2 linked regions of the Canis lupus familiaris genome follow. The protein of the gene in region 2 interacts with the protein of the main gene of each other region in a pairwise test. Links are inferred from orthologs where the notes say so. Each region holds a gene or a part of one and is shown on either strand. Other genes may lie near its edges.

Region 1 (7,848 bases), on a different chromosome or scaffold from region 2:
TTATTTATTTATAGTTACACCTTTCAACTGTTCTTTTCCCCCCTCTGGAGATAGGGGCTGGGTTTGGCTTTCCCTTTGAATCTAAAATCCCTGGGGTAAGAAGGCCTTTGAAAGGTCATGGTGGAGTCACTTTGCCTCCAGACAGTGATCACCGTCCAGGGCAAAACAAGTCGCCACTTCTTGAGGAATTCTCCTCGTAGGCATGCCCTTGGCTTATGCAACACAGGTGCTCTTGAGCAGTATTTTGTAATTCGTACCTTTGTATAAAAGGTGATTCGAAAATACACTCATGGTTTTGTTATTTAAGGAATCCATCAGTGATTCCCCCCCTTCCCCCCTTTTTTGGTCCAACGGAGAGTTAGTTCCATTATCATGAGAATAGATTATTGCATAATTGACTTGGGTTTGTAAATTCAGCAGTTGTATTAGATTTTCTTGAGCCAGGGCACATGCCTATGTAGTGTTCTCAGAGCCAGCAAGCTCCATCTTTTATCTAACTGCGTCTTCCCTTATTTCTTATTCCATTAAATCAGTCCATTCTTTTTCTTTATTTATTTAAATTCAATTTGCCAACATATAGTATAACACCCAGTGCTCATCCCATCAAGTGCCCTCCTCAGTGCCCATCACCCAGCTGCCCCATCCCCCCACCCACCTCACCTGCACCCTAATGCTCATAGCAGCAATGTCCACAATAGCCAAACTGTGGAAGGAGCCACGATGTCCTTCAACAGACGAATGGATAAAGAAGATGTGGCCTATGTATACAATGGAATATTACTCAGCCATCAGAAAAGACGAATATCCACCATTTCTTTGACATGGATGGAAGTGAAGGGTATTATGCTGAGTGAAATAAGTCAGTCAGAGAAGGACAATCATCATATGGTTTCACTCACATATGTGGGAAAATTCAGTCCATTCTTAATCTCAAGCCTCAAAGGACCCATTGTAGAGCCTTGGAATTTGCCGGTAAACGAAAGAGGAAAGCCCTCCCTTGTAATGCTCACATAAGCAGGATCCTGGTGTTGGCTATCACCCCAGTAGTTCACTAACATTATTTTCTCTCCAGTGTGCAGTTCCACCTGACATTACAGCATCTGCTTCTCTCCCCACTACAATGAAGCATCATGAAGGTTCATCCTTGTTCACTCTAGTTCATCCCTGTATCACAAGCATCAAAAATATACTAAATAAAGGGTTGCCTGCCTGCCTGGCTCATCCCATGACCATGTGACTCTTGATCCTGGGGTTGTGAGTTCGAGCCCCCAGGTTGGGTATAGAGATTACTTAAAAAAAATAAACAAGGGCACCTGGGTGGCTCAATGTTGAGCATCTGCCTTTGGCTCAGGTCGTGATCTTGGGGTCCTGGGATCGAGTCCTACATTAGGGTCCCTGTAGGAAGCCTGCTTCTCCCTCTGCCTATATCTTTGCCTCTCTCTCTGTGTCTCTCATGAATTAATAAAAATAAAATCTTTAAAAAATAATAAACTCTTTTAAAAATAAATGTATATATATATGAAATGCTTAAAATTAATTCAACAAACAGACTTCTATTTATGTCAAATTGTTGTGGCATCTGGAATTACATAAAGTGCTGAAGAGATCCTTCCTTTTAAAAAAAATTTTTTTTTTACCATGATGGTTTCCTAAGTATTCCAGCTCTACTATTTTCACCCACTGGCTCCAGCATTATTATAGGAATTAGTTGAACGACAAGAGGATGGCTCCTTTCTAAATTCACTAGTATCCATGTATTATTTTAAAGGGGAATTTTAAGAGGCCCCCTTAAAATTTCTTGCAGAGCTGGTTTAGAGGTCACATATTCTTTTAGTTGCTGCCTGTCTTGGAAGCTCTTTATCTCTCCTTCCATTTTGAATGAGAGCCTTGCTGGATAAAGTATTCTTGGTTGCATGTTCTTCTCATTTAGGACCCTGAATATATCCTGCCAGCCCTTTCTGGCCTGCCAGGTCTCTGTGGAGAGGTCTGCTGTTACCCTAATACTCCTCCCCATAAAAGTCAGGGATTTCTTGTCTCTTGCTGCTTTAAGGATCTTCTCTTTATCTTTGGAATTTGCAAGCTTCACAATTAAATGTCGAGGTGTTGAACGGTTTTTATTGATTTTAGGGGGGGATCTCTCTATTTCCTGGATCTGAATGCCTGTTTCCCTTCCCAGATTAGGAAAGTTTTCAGCTAGAATTTGTTCAAATACATATTCTGGCCCTCTGTCCCTTTCGGCGCCCTCGGGAACCCCAATTAAACGTAGGTTTTTCTTTCTCAGGCTGTCGTTTATTTCCCTTAATCTATCTTCATGGTCTTTTAATTGTTTGTCTCTTTTTTCCTCAGTTTCCCTCTTTGCTATCAACTTGTCTTCTAGGTCACTCACTCGTTCTTCCACCTCGTTAACCCTCGTCGTTAGGACTTCTAGTTTGGATTGCATCTCATTCAATTGGTTTTTAATTTCTGCCTGATTAGCTCTAAATTCTGCAGTCATGAAGTCTCTTGAGTCCTTTATACTTTTTTCTAGAGCCACCAGTAGCTGTATAATAGTGCTTCTGAATTGGCTTTCTGACATTGAATTGTAATCCAGATTTTGTAACTCTGTGGGAGAGAGGACTGTTTCTGATTCTTTCTTTTGAGGTGAGGTTTTCCTTCTAGTCATTTTGCTCAGTGCAGAGTGGCCAAAAGCAAGTTGTATTGGGAAAAAGAGAAAAAGAGAGGAGAGAAAGAAGGAAAGAAAAGAGAAAGAGAAAAAAAAGGGAAGAAAAAGAAAAAAAAAACGAAAAAAAAAAAAGGGAAGAAAAAGAGAAAGAAAAAGAAAGGAGAAAAAAAGGGGGTGGGGGAAGGATACAAATCAAAAAGCAAAATAAAACACAAACAAAAACAAAAACAAAAACAAACAAACAAAAAAAGAACCACCGGGGAGTATCTTCTGATTCTGTGTACTTTAAGTCCCTTGGCTTCTCCTGGAAGTTGTCCGTCTAGCTGGTGTTCTGGGGGAGGGGCCTGTTGTGCTGATTTTCAGGTGTTAGCAGTTGGGGGAGCTGCTGTGCCCCTGCCTGGTGCAGGGCTCAGTGGGGGTTGTTTACCCCGTGAGGCCGCAGGAGGAACAGCCCCAGTGGCGGGGCAGCTCTGGAAACCTGGATTCAGCTCCGGCAGGAACTCCGTCTGCAGGGCCTGGAGGCTCCGGGGCGGGGCCGCTGATCTGCTCAGCTGGGGCAGGAGCGTCCTTGCTGTCCTGGGCCCTCCCGGCCTCTGCCTGTCCCGGGGGAGGCGGGATCCTGGGCTGTGTCCCGGCGCCCTGTGCTCCGGAGCCTGCGCTGGTGGATTCGCGCTCCCGGGCCGCGCAGCCCCCTCCGCACGGAGCCTCTTCCTCTGCCCGAGCCCCTCCGAGCTGCTCCCGGGGCCGCGCAGCCCCCTCCGCGGAGCCGCCGCCCGAGCCCCTTCAGCTGCTCCGGGTCCCGCCGGGTCCCGCCGTGCGCGCTGCAGCCCTTAGGGAGCTCGGCGCACTCTCCTGGGCGCGCAGTTGCTGTTACTGTCCCCGGGAGCCCGAGGGCATCCCCGCCCTCCTGGGTCCTGCTCCAACTCCCCGCGAGCCCCTTTCCGCCCGGGAAGGTCGGTGCAGCTCCTGCTCCTCCGGGACGGGGCTCTCCTGTCCTGGGGACACTCGCCCCGGCCTCAGCCCGGCTCCTCGCGGGGCCCCTCCCCCTTGGAGGCCTTTTGTTCCTTTATTTCTTTTTCCCCGTCTTCCTACCTTGATAGATGCGCGAACTCTTCTCACTGTAGCATTCCAGCTGGTCTCTCTTTAAATCTCAGGCCGAATTCATAGATTTTCAGGATAATTTGAAGGTTTTCTAGGTAGTTTGGTGGAGACAGGTGATTTGGAGACCCTACTCTTCCGCCATCTTGCTCCTCCCTCCCATGTATTATTTTAAATGGGTCAACCTTGAAACTAACAACTCTGCAGAACAAGTTGGTTGGCATGACCCACTAACAGCTTCTTTGCTCTCTGGTGGGTTCTTTGTGCAGCCAGTTCAATGCGGACACGATTCAGCTTTTGATGAGAAGACAGTCCTTTCTGCATCATTGTATTTGTGTAAATTTGGTGCTTTGTACCACTCAAGGAGGAAAGAGAAAAGACGGGAAACTATTTCTGAGTCTAGAACAACCTAGGTCTAAAAGCAGGTCTATCAGAAAGACGGAAAAAACTTAATGATCCAGTTTGATCTGGAATGACACAAGAACTTCTAATGACATGGGAACAAAGTTTTGCTGACCAATGAATGGAAAAATGATGCAAAACTAATGCTCAAGGTCAAGTATTTAGTTATACTTACTCTTTAGAAGATATATTTACCTCTCGAAAGTTTTAAGTTCTTGTTCTGAGAACATTTCTATTGCTCTGAGTACAATGGAAACAAATAAGTAGGAACAGAAATCTTGGTCACTCACTCACCTTTTTGCTTAAGTGGGGACCATTAGCCGCCCCAATGCTTCTCTGCACTGATGGTGGTACTTGATACACGTCTTGTTCCTGGATACCATGGCTAGTGGGGACCTGGTAAATTCCCTGATGTTGGTAGGAAGGTGGAACTTGGTAGATCGTATCTCGAGGGGCACTGTGTGGGTTTGGCACTTGATAGAGCTTCTGTTGGCCAAAGGTCTGATGCATTAGTCCTGAAGTAGGCTGGTCCTGACCGGAGGGGGTCTCTTGAATGGGGCCAATCAGAAGCTTCACCCGGTTGCCTGGGACGATGCCTTGTCGACCATGTAAGGAGCAGAGCCACCATCCTTCCAGTCCTCCTGTGTTCTGCTCTATGACAGTCAGAATATCTCCCTTGCGAAAGGCCAATTCCTCAGCACACTCTGGGACATTGTCGTATAAGGCCCTTGCCATAAGATTCTAGGAAGAAGAGAACAGAGGGAAATGGTGTTAGAATGCTAGCTCAGTCCTTTAAACACCTAAAGCCCGTGCTCTTCTGGAGAAGCACACTTCCTGGAAGGGGGAGAAGAACAAATGTGAACAATAGCCTGTAAGGAGAAAAACAGATGGACGCAGACAAAACACAGATACGTCCGTACTGTGCCTGCCACCAGTGACGTCAGACTGCCTCCTCGGCGAAGCTCTGAACACCACAAGAGTTCTTCCCTCTAGCAGGGGATGCCGTGCCAAGGAGTTACGAGTAGCACTGTTAAAGAGTTCACTATACAGAACACTTTTCTTCCTTTCCTCAAGCCAGCTCGAAGAATAAGACATTCCAAGATATTCAGATGTGCCACAGCAGACATTTCTCAATCTTTTCATATATCGGAGGCAGGAGGAGTCAAAGACAATCCCAAATGACAAATGGTACACATGGCGTTTATATTTGGTGTTAAAGTGGAAACAAAAGTCGACTTATGTATGCCTTGGCAGGCCTTCCAAATTCTTATTCCCAGTCGATCAAGTTGTGGATACAGGGGGAATCCACAAGCAAGTGCTCTTTGCATGACAACCAAGCATGGAGCACAGGGTGACAGTAGTCTCTCTTCAGAGTTGATGGCAGGGGGCTACGAAGAGTTTACTGCGTGTAGGTAGATGCCACCTCTTTCCTTTTTTGGTCTTTTATTCATACCTTTCCTGAAGCCCCCCCCCCCCGCCCCCTGCCACCTCTTCCCCCCACTTCTTGAATCTCTCCATTCACATCAGAAAGGCTCTGCCTCCCCCTTTCAGGGGCCCCAAACACTCTCCCCCTTTGTATGAAGGCCTGTCTGGCACATTCAGTACTAAGCAGACAGCCCAAGTAGGCATTCAGCAGAGAGTGGGCAAGCGGTATGTGCTGACATTCTTGGACGCCTTTCAAAGGCTCCGAAGACTTCATTTCTTGGCGTTAGTCATGTTTCGCGGTACGATGGCAGCCATCACCACATGCCTGCTCCTTCCCAGCACACAGAGGAGCCGGGACGCTGTAAATTCATCACAGGCACTTGGAAAACTAAAAGTGATCTCTTCGGTGCTTCACGAAAGTGTCTGGATGCACCTGAGTCACCGGGATGCTGATCATTTGTGGGAGGAGGGACTGCCTATTGGGTGGAACATGTTTGGGACTTTACATATTCGTGGAATTTTTGGCAGTTGTTGTTTGGACTTCTGCCCCCTGTTTGCTTCTCTAGAAACGTGGACTTGATCTTCCAGCCCCGTGCTTCTCATTCCTTTAGAACTGACATACATTAATCATCTCCCCCTGTACTATGCCCCATAACCACAGTCTTGTGCTGTGTGCTGGGTCTCCCCTCTGGAGTGGGGGTTGGGGTTGGGGGCTGCATTATGTAAGCAGTTCCCTTCTCATCAGTACCTGGGAGGAGGTCCTACTTTTACTGTTAATCCTCTTAGTGTTACTACTTAACCTAATAAAAAAGAGGTCAGTACCCAGATGATGCTTTTGAAGAATAAGGCTGAAGTTCTTATTGGTTACAGTTTGGGGATCCAAGAAGTCTGCAATGTAGACAGGGAAGCTCATGGGAAACTGAGGGATTTGTGTTCTGAGTGAAAGTTTTACTTAGTATTTATATGCTAGGAAGCTTTGGGATTTTTTCCTAACAGAAACTCACATACACAAAGATAAAATCATGCAGCATACTATCCTGTCTTGAGGAACCACTTAAGAATGTGTCATAATCCTAAAATCTGTTTCTCTTCTTCCATCTCTTGAGTGTTCTGTAACTTAAAAGAAAAGTCAGTTACGGACGACAAGGTTCTGGGCCTTTGTACCAAAATAATCTGATGGAGATCACTCCACTCAAGAAGAGTTGTATTGTGATGATAGAGGAGGGAGAGAGTTGAGCACTATGGTCTCTATCCCTTTTGCTGGGGCCCATACCATGATTGGGAATGGCTGGTAAGAAAGCCTCGAGATGAAATCAGAAGTAAGAGAGTCAGGATCCGTTCTATGGAAGCTGGGGGTGGGTCGCTGGACGACTGTAGGGGCTACAAAGAAAGCAAAGAAACAGAAAACAGCAGAAAGGCAAGGGACTATGGACCTAATCAGCATAAATAAGCTCAAGGCATGTGGAGTTGGGTCACTGCCATGGGACTCCAAGCACTGGAGCGCTGGGCCGTGCTTGATTAGAGGCAGATAGAAATCCCCATGTGAGAGTTGTTCTGGATGTTCTTTGTCTCCCATCCCAGTGACCTTCCCACCACCTGGTTAGCAGCATGCTAATGTTTCAGATGTGCCTCAAGACCTGGTTCTCTGGGAAAACTTTCAGAGACTGTTGTCCTCGCTAACAGAGAAACCCTGGGTGAGTCCTCCTGACTGGTTGTCCATGACTCCCCATCAGTCCCCTGCTGCCCTGAGAAATGAGAGGATTTAGGAAGAGAGTTTAGCATGACCATTGGTGGCATGCACCCCCCAGTGCTAGCCTGACACCTCACATAATGACAGATATTTACAGCCTTGGCTGAACAGGAGTGAGTTACTTAATATTGGTGCAAGCTCCAGAGAGTCAGCATCTACACATAGTCTACACACACCCATTACTCTCCCATATGGAAGGTTACATGCATGCAGTTCCAGAGACCTTTAGAGAACTGGACCCAACCTCTCTGTTTTATAGATAAAGAAACAGGTCTGGGGAGGCCAGCTTATCTTTTGCTCAAAGCCACAATTTTGGTGTCAGAGATGAGAACAGAACTATGGTCTCTTGGTTCAGATCTCTTTCTAGAACTCTAAGCCAGCTTAGCTCAACTACACAATGTCTTCCCAACTGGGCTCAACTCCATTATATAGGGAAGTTCTGAAAATGACAATTCTTGTCGTATCTATAGAATAAATAGATTATTTCCCTTTGTGCCTTAACTTCCTCATC
Region 2 (6,147 bases):
GGCGGAACGAGGCCCCAACCACAAGCTACTCCCCCGCGGCCTGAACTGGAACTTAAAGCGCAGGCAGGGCGAGAGGCTGGTAGCCCTGGGGGATGATGGGAAGGGGGGCGGGGACTCGGAAGTCTCGCGCGCTTTCAGGGACGAAAACTGCGCCGACGGGAGGGATTACGGAAGCCTAGACGGACCCAACGAGGCCGCGGAAGGGCGGTAGGGCCCCTGGGCGTATAAAGAACTTTCTCCCGCGGAGGTCGAAGGTCGTCCTCTGGCTTGATGTGTCCGGGATCTGGGGATCTGAGCCAGTTCGTGTCCCGTTGTTGCCCCCCGACCACCCAGCTCGGGGCGCCTCCTGCCCTCATGTGGGGCTGCTTTCCCCTGCTTCTGGCGCAGGGCAGGGAGCTGGGGAATGCAGGCGTTTAGCGGGATAGAGCAACCATTTTAAAGCATCTCCCACCATTTTGTGCTGCGCCAGAGACCCAAGCTTTATTGCCGCCTCGGTATTTAACCACCTGCAAAACCCTGTTACTGCTGTTCTTCGTAAGAGGCGAAGGCGGCAGGTCTGTCTTATCCCCAACCAGTAGTTGGTTGGGATAGCTTATAGGTTGAGGTCTTGATCAACAGGCGGAGACCGGCTTGCGCCAGAGAAAACGCACCACCACCCCCGGAGAGAACACCAAGTCCTTGATCAGGGAGTGGAGTGTCCAGGCTGAAGAACAGGGAAGGCCGCCTCCTTGGAGTATGCTGCAGCCTCACTCCAAGCACGGAGAGGAAGGGTGTCTTTACACCACGTTTGCAAGAGTGTAGAATGGAGTTGCAAAAATCTAGGTCTAGGGAGACCCGGGTTCTGATCTTGGTACTGCATTAGGAAACCATGCAACCTGAGATCGCTTCTGTAAAAACGCAGTCACCACAAATGTGTTTGCATTAGGCTGCTGTGAGAATCAGATGAGACAATACACTTAAGTGTTTTGTAAACTCTTGAGGGATTATTATTTCATGATTGGAGGAAGAAGAGACAGTACTTGGTGACACAGTTGTCAGGATAGATGTCAGGGAGGGTAGTTGATGGGAAGGGAAAACGTAACAGGTGGTTCTGGGAAGGCTCAGCAGTCGGTCGTGACAGTGGCTGAGAGCTCCTGGATGCGCCAGGCACTGCACGCCTTGCACAAGATGTGCCCATCCAGCGGGTAGCAGCCCTGACACTCGCCCTCGGAGGAGAGGAGCAGCCCACACTCCTGTTAAGACAGAAGCAAGAGCTTTCTATCAGGGCCAGAGCCCTGGGTTCTACCATTCCCAGCACCCCAGACCCCAAGAATCTCCCATTCCCCTTGCCGGGGCCCCCTGACCTCGCACTTGTAACAGCCAATGTGAAAACTGCGATCCAGAGCAACGATTCGTACCGTCTCCTCCTGCCCTGGCTCAGGCATGATGGCCCCACCACACACTGAGCACCGTGGGGCAAACTTCCTGGGGTGGAAGGGAACAACGGAGGCTGTCAAGCCCCTGGGTTGGAGGGGACTAACAGTGCAGCCCAGAGAAGGTGGGCTATGCAAGGGTACGGGAGAGGCCAGAGGGATGGATGGTCTTGGCTCTCACAAGAGAGAGTGACGGTAACAAGAAAGACAAAGTCCGGGGTAGGAAACTGGAGAAGCTGGTACTGGGACATAAAGGAGAAATGAAGAAGATGGGGAAGGTCAGATGTCTCGAGAAAGATGGGAGACCCAGTCTGACCTGTGGAAGTCCTCAATGCAGTGGATCTGGCTGGTGGCATCCACTGTGAAAGGGATGCCGTCGAGGCCACGGTGGCACACCACACAGGTAAAGCAGCTAGGGTGGTAGGCTTTCCCCATGGCCCGCAGGATCCGGTCCAGGATGGGTTGGGAGCATGTGGAGCACTTCTCCAGGGTGGCCTAGCGAATTAGAAAGGAAGGGTGGCAAGTTCAGGGCTGAGGAGGTCCGGTGGCTGGCAGGCACCCTGCTGGCCTACCCACCTGTTTTTATAGCCTGCAAGGGATTCAGTGAAAAGTGGCCCTGAACAGATCTAAGTCCCAGCACTGTAGCTTCCTACAGAAGTGATCCAGTCTCAACTTCCGTTTCCTACAGTAGTATCAGCTGCTTCACAGGGGCAGCAGTGTGGAAATTTAACATATTCCCTTAACTCAAGATAAGTCTGGTCTCCTCCTCTTCTTCCTCCTCCTCTCACATTTGTAAGGAACTATTGTCCTTTCCCTCCAGCAGCCAGTAATTTCACTACTTTCCCAATTCCTTCCTTCTTACACATCAGTTTAGTCCCCCAGCTTGGAGTTCTTTTTTCCTTTAAGACTTTATTTATTTATTCATGAGAGACACGGAGAGAGAAGTAGAGACATAGGCAGAGGGAGAAGCAGGCTCCCTGGGGGGAACCCAATACGGGACTCAATCCAGGGCTCCAGGATCACCACCTGAGCCGAAAGCAGATGCTCAACCACTGGGCCACCCAGGCATCCCCCACCTTTGAATTCTGTCCCTCTCATGTGCTTAGACATCTAGTTTCCACCTTAGATGGAAGCCTCCTGCCTCCTGCTACCTTAGATGGAAGCCTCCTGCCTCCTGCTACAGACTCCAGCACCCAGGCCACCCCCAGCACACCCACTCACCACATAGCAGCTCTCACAGTACGCCCTCCTCTCCACAGCATAGAAATGTTGGCCCCGAAGCTGGGCCCGGCATGTAGAGCACACGAAGCAGCCAACGTGAAAGACCCGGTCCAGGGCCACAACGCCAGCCCCATCCCCAACCACATCTTCCCCACAGCCGCCGCACCGCCCTGGGGACAGGGAGGGACAGGGTCAATAAGCATGCAGAATGGAAGGTGGATTCGCTGTCCCCTTGACTCCCCAGTCCCCTGCCCCCCTTCCCACCTCAGGTCAGCTCACCAAAGTACTCCCCGGTGGGAGGATGGTTCATGTCATGCACCAGTTTCTTCGTCAGCCTCTCAAGCTCTTCCTCAGGAGGCTGGTTCAGGGGGACCTGAAAGGGGGGAGTCAGGGGTTCAGCCCTACCTCCAGCTCCCTATGCTGTCAGACTTTCCTGAAGGGGACCAGGCAGTTCCAAGCAGAAAGCTCATCTGACGAGGTCTCAGCCCGGGGCCCAGGGGTGCACCTCCAGGAGCCAGTGTACAGCTCCAGCACCTCCCTCTTCTATTTCCTGACCAGCGCCACATCCCTGGGACCCAGAACTCCAACACCCCAGGACTCCCCACCCCACCCAATCAGTGTCCAGTTGTCCATGAGGACCCCACATCCCAATACTTAGGGCTTACCTGGGGCCCATACGCGCCTCCTCTTCCTCCTCCTGCAGCCTCCTCTTTAACCCCTGGCCCTGGCTCATGGTGGCTCCTATAGCCAGCCCCCCAGACTTCACCTTGGCCTGGGAGAGGAAAGTGAGGGCCCGGGAGGGCCCCGGAGGCCTGAGAGGCCCCCCGCCTGGGAGGGCCACAGCCTCTCACTGGTTGTGCCACCTTCACTTGCACAGGGAAGGCAGGGCCAGCGGGGGTGCTGGCTGTAGCATAGGAGGCTGGAGTGGGGCCCCCATAGGGAGACGCTGAGAGCTGTTGGGGAGGAATAGGAACACCCCCTCCATTCGGCTTCAGGGAGCCTGAGCCTGTGCGGTAGGCATGGGGCTGAGGGGGCTCATAAGCCTGGGGAGAAACAGACCAGGAGTGAGAAGGCCCATTCCAGGACACACACTTGTGGGCCCTCCCACGTGTGTGTGTGTGTGTGTGTGTGTGTGTGTGTCCCCAAGGTAGTGCTGGTCTTTGACAAGCACTCAAGAGGCTGACAATCTAGTAAGATGTGATACTCCTGCATGTATCACACATGGGGGCAAGGGTGAAGGGTACCAGGTTGAGAATCTAGGGAAAGGACCAGGATGGGGAGTGTGGAAGAGGGCAGGAGACAAGGAACAGGGGTGGGACAGGGAAGTCACCTGCCGGTCTGACCGCCGTGGGGCATGACCACGACCTCCATCCAACTCAGCCAGCATGCTGGTCAGCGAATCTATCTCGGCATCCAGACTTCCTGGACGCAAGGCCCCCCTGTCTGGGGGGAGCCCCTGGAGATGAAGAAAAAGCAGGGAGAATTCAAGTCACTTGCCCCGGGTGCCCCCACCTCCCACCCACTCCCAATTCCAATTCTCACCTGTGAGCGCTGGGGTGCTCCATGGCACCCCACCCAGGGGAACCCCCGATCATCTGGTCCCCCGGGGGCCTGGTAACACTGCTCAGATGGGAGGGGGCAAAAATTGACCCTGGGGTGGGGCTGATGTGCTAGGGTGAGGGAAAAGAGAGCCAAGGTGGGGATGGGGAAGGAGGGGAGGGTGACACTTATGGAGGCCGCCCTCATGGGTCACTCTTCTCCCCTCCCCCCCCACACTTGGAGTCCCAGAACAGAGCAGGAGCAGGAAGCCGGAAGGGCTTCAGGGAAGGGGTGGCAGGGACAAGCCAGGGGCAGGAGGCAGGAACCAGAAGGCGAAGGTGAGCTCAGAATGGCCAGTGGCCTCCTTGGCGGCACTGGGGCTGCCTTACCTGCTCCATGGGCTGGCGGCGGCCCCGGGGCACCTCGGGGGAGTGCTCTCCCCTGAGGGGCTCTTGCAGGCTCCAGCTGCCTTGGGGGGAGCCAGGTGGGCCCCGACATGGCCGGGATCAGGAGACTCTAGACAGCGGTCAGGCCCCACGTAGCCCCAAGACTCTGGTCTTGGCCCCTTCTTCTGTCCCACACCTCGTTTGGAACTCCAGGAAAGAAACTTTTTCTGGCCTTTTTTTTCCCCTTCCTCCCCAATTTTGGGGACAGCCACGCCCCCGGTGACGTCACCACATTCCTGGGGGAGGGTCACGTGGCCCCCTAGGCCCTAAACTGCCGTCCCTCCCCCAGTCGGCCCCCTCCCGCCGAGCAGGGAGAGCTTTCCAAGGCTGCCTCCGTTTCACTCGTTCCCCCAGACTGGCGCCCCAAGTCCCGCACGTGGCCACCTCGCCGCTGGGACGCGCTCCAGCGCGGCTCTTTCCCACACTCCCCCAACCAGATCTCTCTCTTCCCGCCCCACCTACCGCCCCTAGCAGTGCTCAGCCAGGCCAGCCCATAGTGTTTTGGTCTTTTATTCACGTTCAGCGGTTAGAAAAATAAAACAGAACAAAAACATCACAACCTCAGGGGTCTGCGAGTCTGTTGGGCAAGGGGAGACTGAGGTAGCCGAGAGTCAAAGCAGAGACCCAGCCTCCATCAAGGCACCAGTGAAGGAAGGGAGGCCAGTGGGGAGGGCTGCTGCCTTTCTCCCCCAGCGTGGTGGGGACACAGCTGCCCTGCATTAGTGCACTAAAGCCCCTCTCACAGGGACAGAGGGGTGCCCCAGCCCAGGATCCCCTAGTACTTCCACAGGGCTCCACACCCCACACGTGGAGCAGGCGGGAGGCTGCCCTTCCCTTCTGCATCCACTGATCAAAGCAGGTCACCGGACCTGGGCACCCTCTGCTCCAGGCCCCGGGCATCAGAGATCAGTGCAAGTGACTGGGGTGACTCCGTGAATGAGTAGCGTGGGGCCCAGATCATGGGTCAGAGTCTCCAGGAGCGCCAGGTAGCGAGTGTAGCAGGCAGGATCGGCGGGCGGCCGAGGCAGGTATAGGAAAGTGAGGGCTGTGGCAGGCCCACCTTCGCCATCCGCACCCTCAGGCCCACCGGGCCCGCCTCCTCTGCCGCGCCCCTGCTGGGCCCGAACCAGGGCGTTAGCACTGCATGCCAGGGCCTCTGCCTCAGCATCTCCCCGCCTGCCATTCACAAAGTCTCCTTCCTCCTCCTCCTCCTCCGGCTCCCCAGCCCCAGCCCCCTCACCCCACACCACCTCCTGTACTTCGGCTCTGATCCTCAGCTGGCTCAGCAGTGCCCGGAGCCGCCCCTCAGCCGCCCCGGGGGCCTCTCGAGGCCCCAGGCACAAGAAGATCCGGAGCCGGGCGCTATGCCAAGCAGGCACCATGCCCAAGATGGTTGCCATCTGCAGCAGGAAAAGGCCACACACATCCACGTAGCCAGGCCCACCCCGGGGCCGCAGCAGGTTGAGAGGCCACACATCCACGTGATGTGGCTGAGAGGTACCCCCTGAACCCCGGCTCAGCCGCTCCGG

The links. The genes of interacting proteins can lie anywhere in the genome.
Region 1: the proteins of TRIP6 (region 2) and NEDD9 interact in binary tests that used the Homo sapiens proteins (3 or more experiments, as listed by UniProt). The link is inferred for Canis lupus familiaris from reciprocal best matches to the Homo sapiens genes TRIP6 and NEDD9.

The regions. Positions count from the first base shown.
Region 1 is NC_049256.1:12,181,663-12,189,510, forward strand, and holds part of NEDD9 (enhancer of filamentation 1), read right to left. Parts: intron 4,904-7,848; coding exon 4,457-4,903; intron 1-4,456. UniProt on the Homo sapiens protein: Scaffolding protein which plays a central coordinating role for tyrosine-kinase-based signaling related to cell adhesion. As a focal adhesion protein, plays a role in embryonic fibroblast migration.
Region 2 is NC_049227.1:8,841,627-8,847,773, forward strand, and holds TRIP6 (thyroid receptor-interacting protein 6), read right to left. Parts: upstream 4,975-6,147; 5' UTR 4,671-4,974; coding exon 4,562-4,670; intron 4,304-4,561; coding exon 4,176-4,303; intron 4,090-4,175; coding exon 3,964-4,089; intron 3,677-3,963; coding exon 3,299-3,676; intron 3,007-3,298; coding exon 2,913-3,006; intron 2,804-2,912; coding exon 2,634-2,803; intron 1,908-2,633; coding exon 1,729-1,907; intron 1,465-1,728; coding exon 1,344-1,464; intron 1,233-1,343; coding exon 1,101-1,232; 3' UTR 962-1,100; downstream 1-961. Other genes in the region: SLC12A9 (solute carrier family 12 member 9), read right to left, coding at 5,518-6,147. UniProt on the Homo sapiens protein: Relays signals from the cell surface to the nucleus to weaken adherens junction and promote actin cytoskeleton reorganization and cell invasiveness. Involved in lysophosphatidic acid-induced cell adhesion and migration.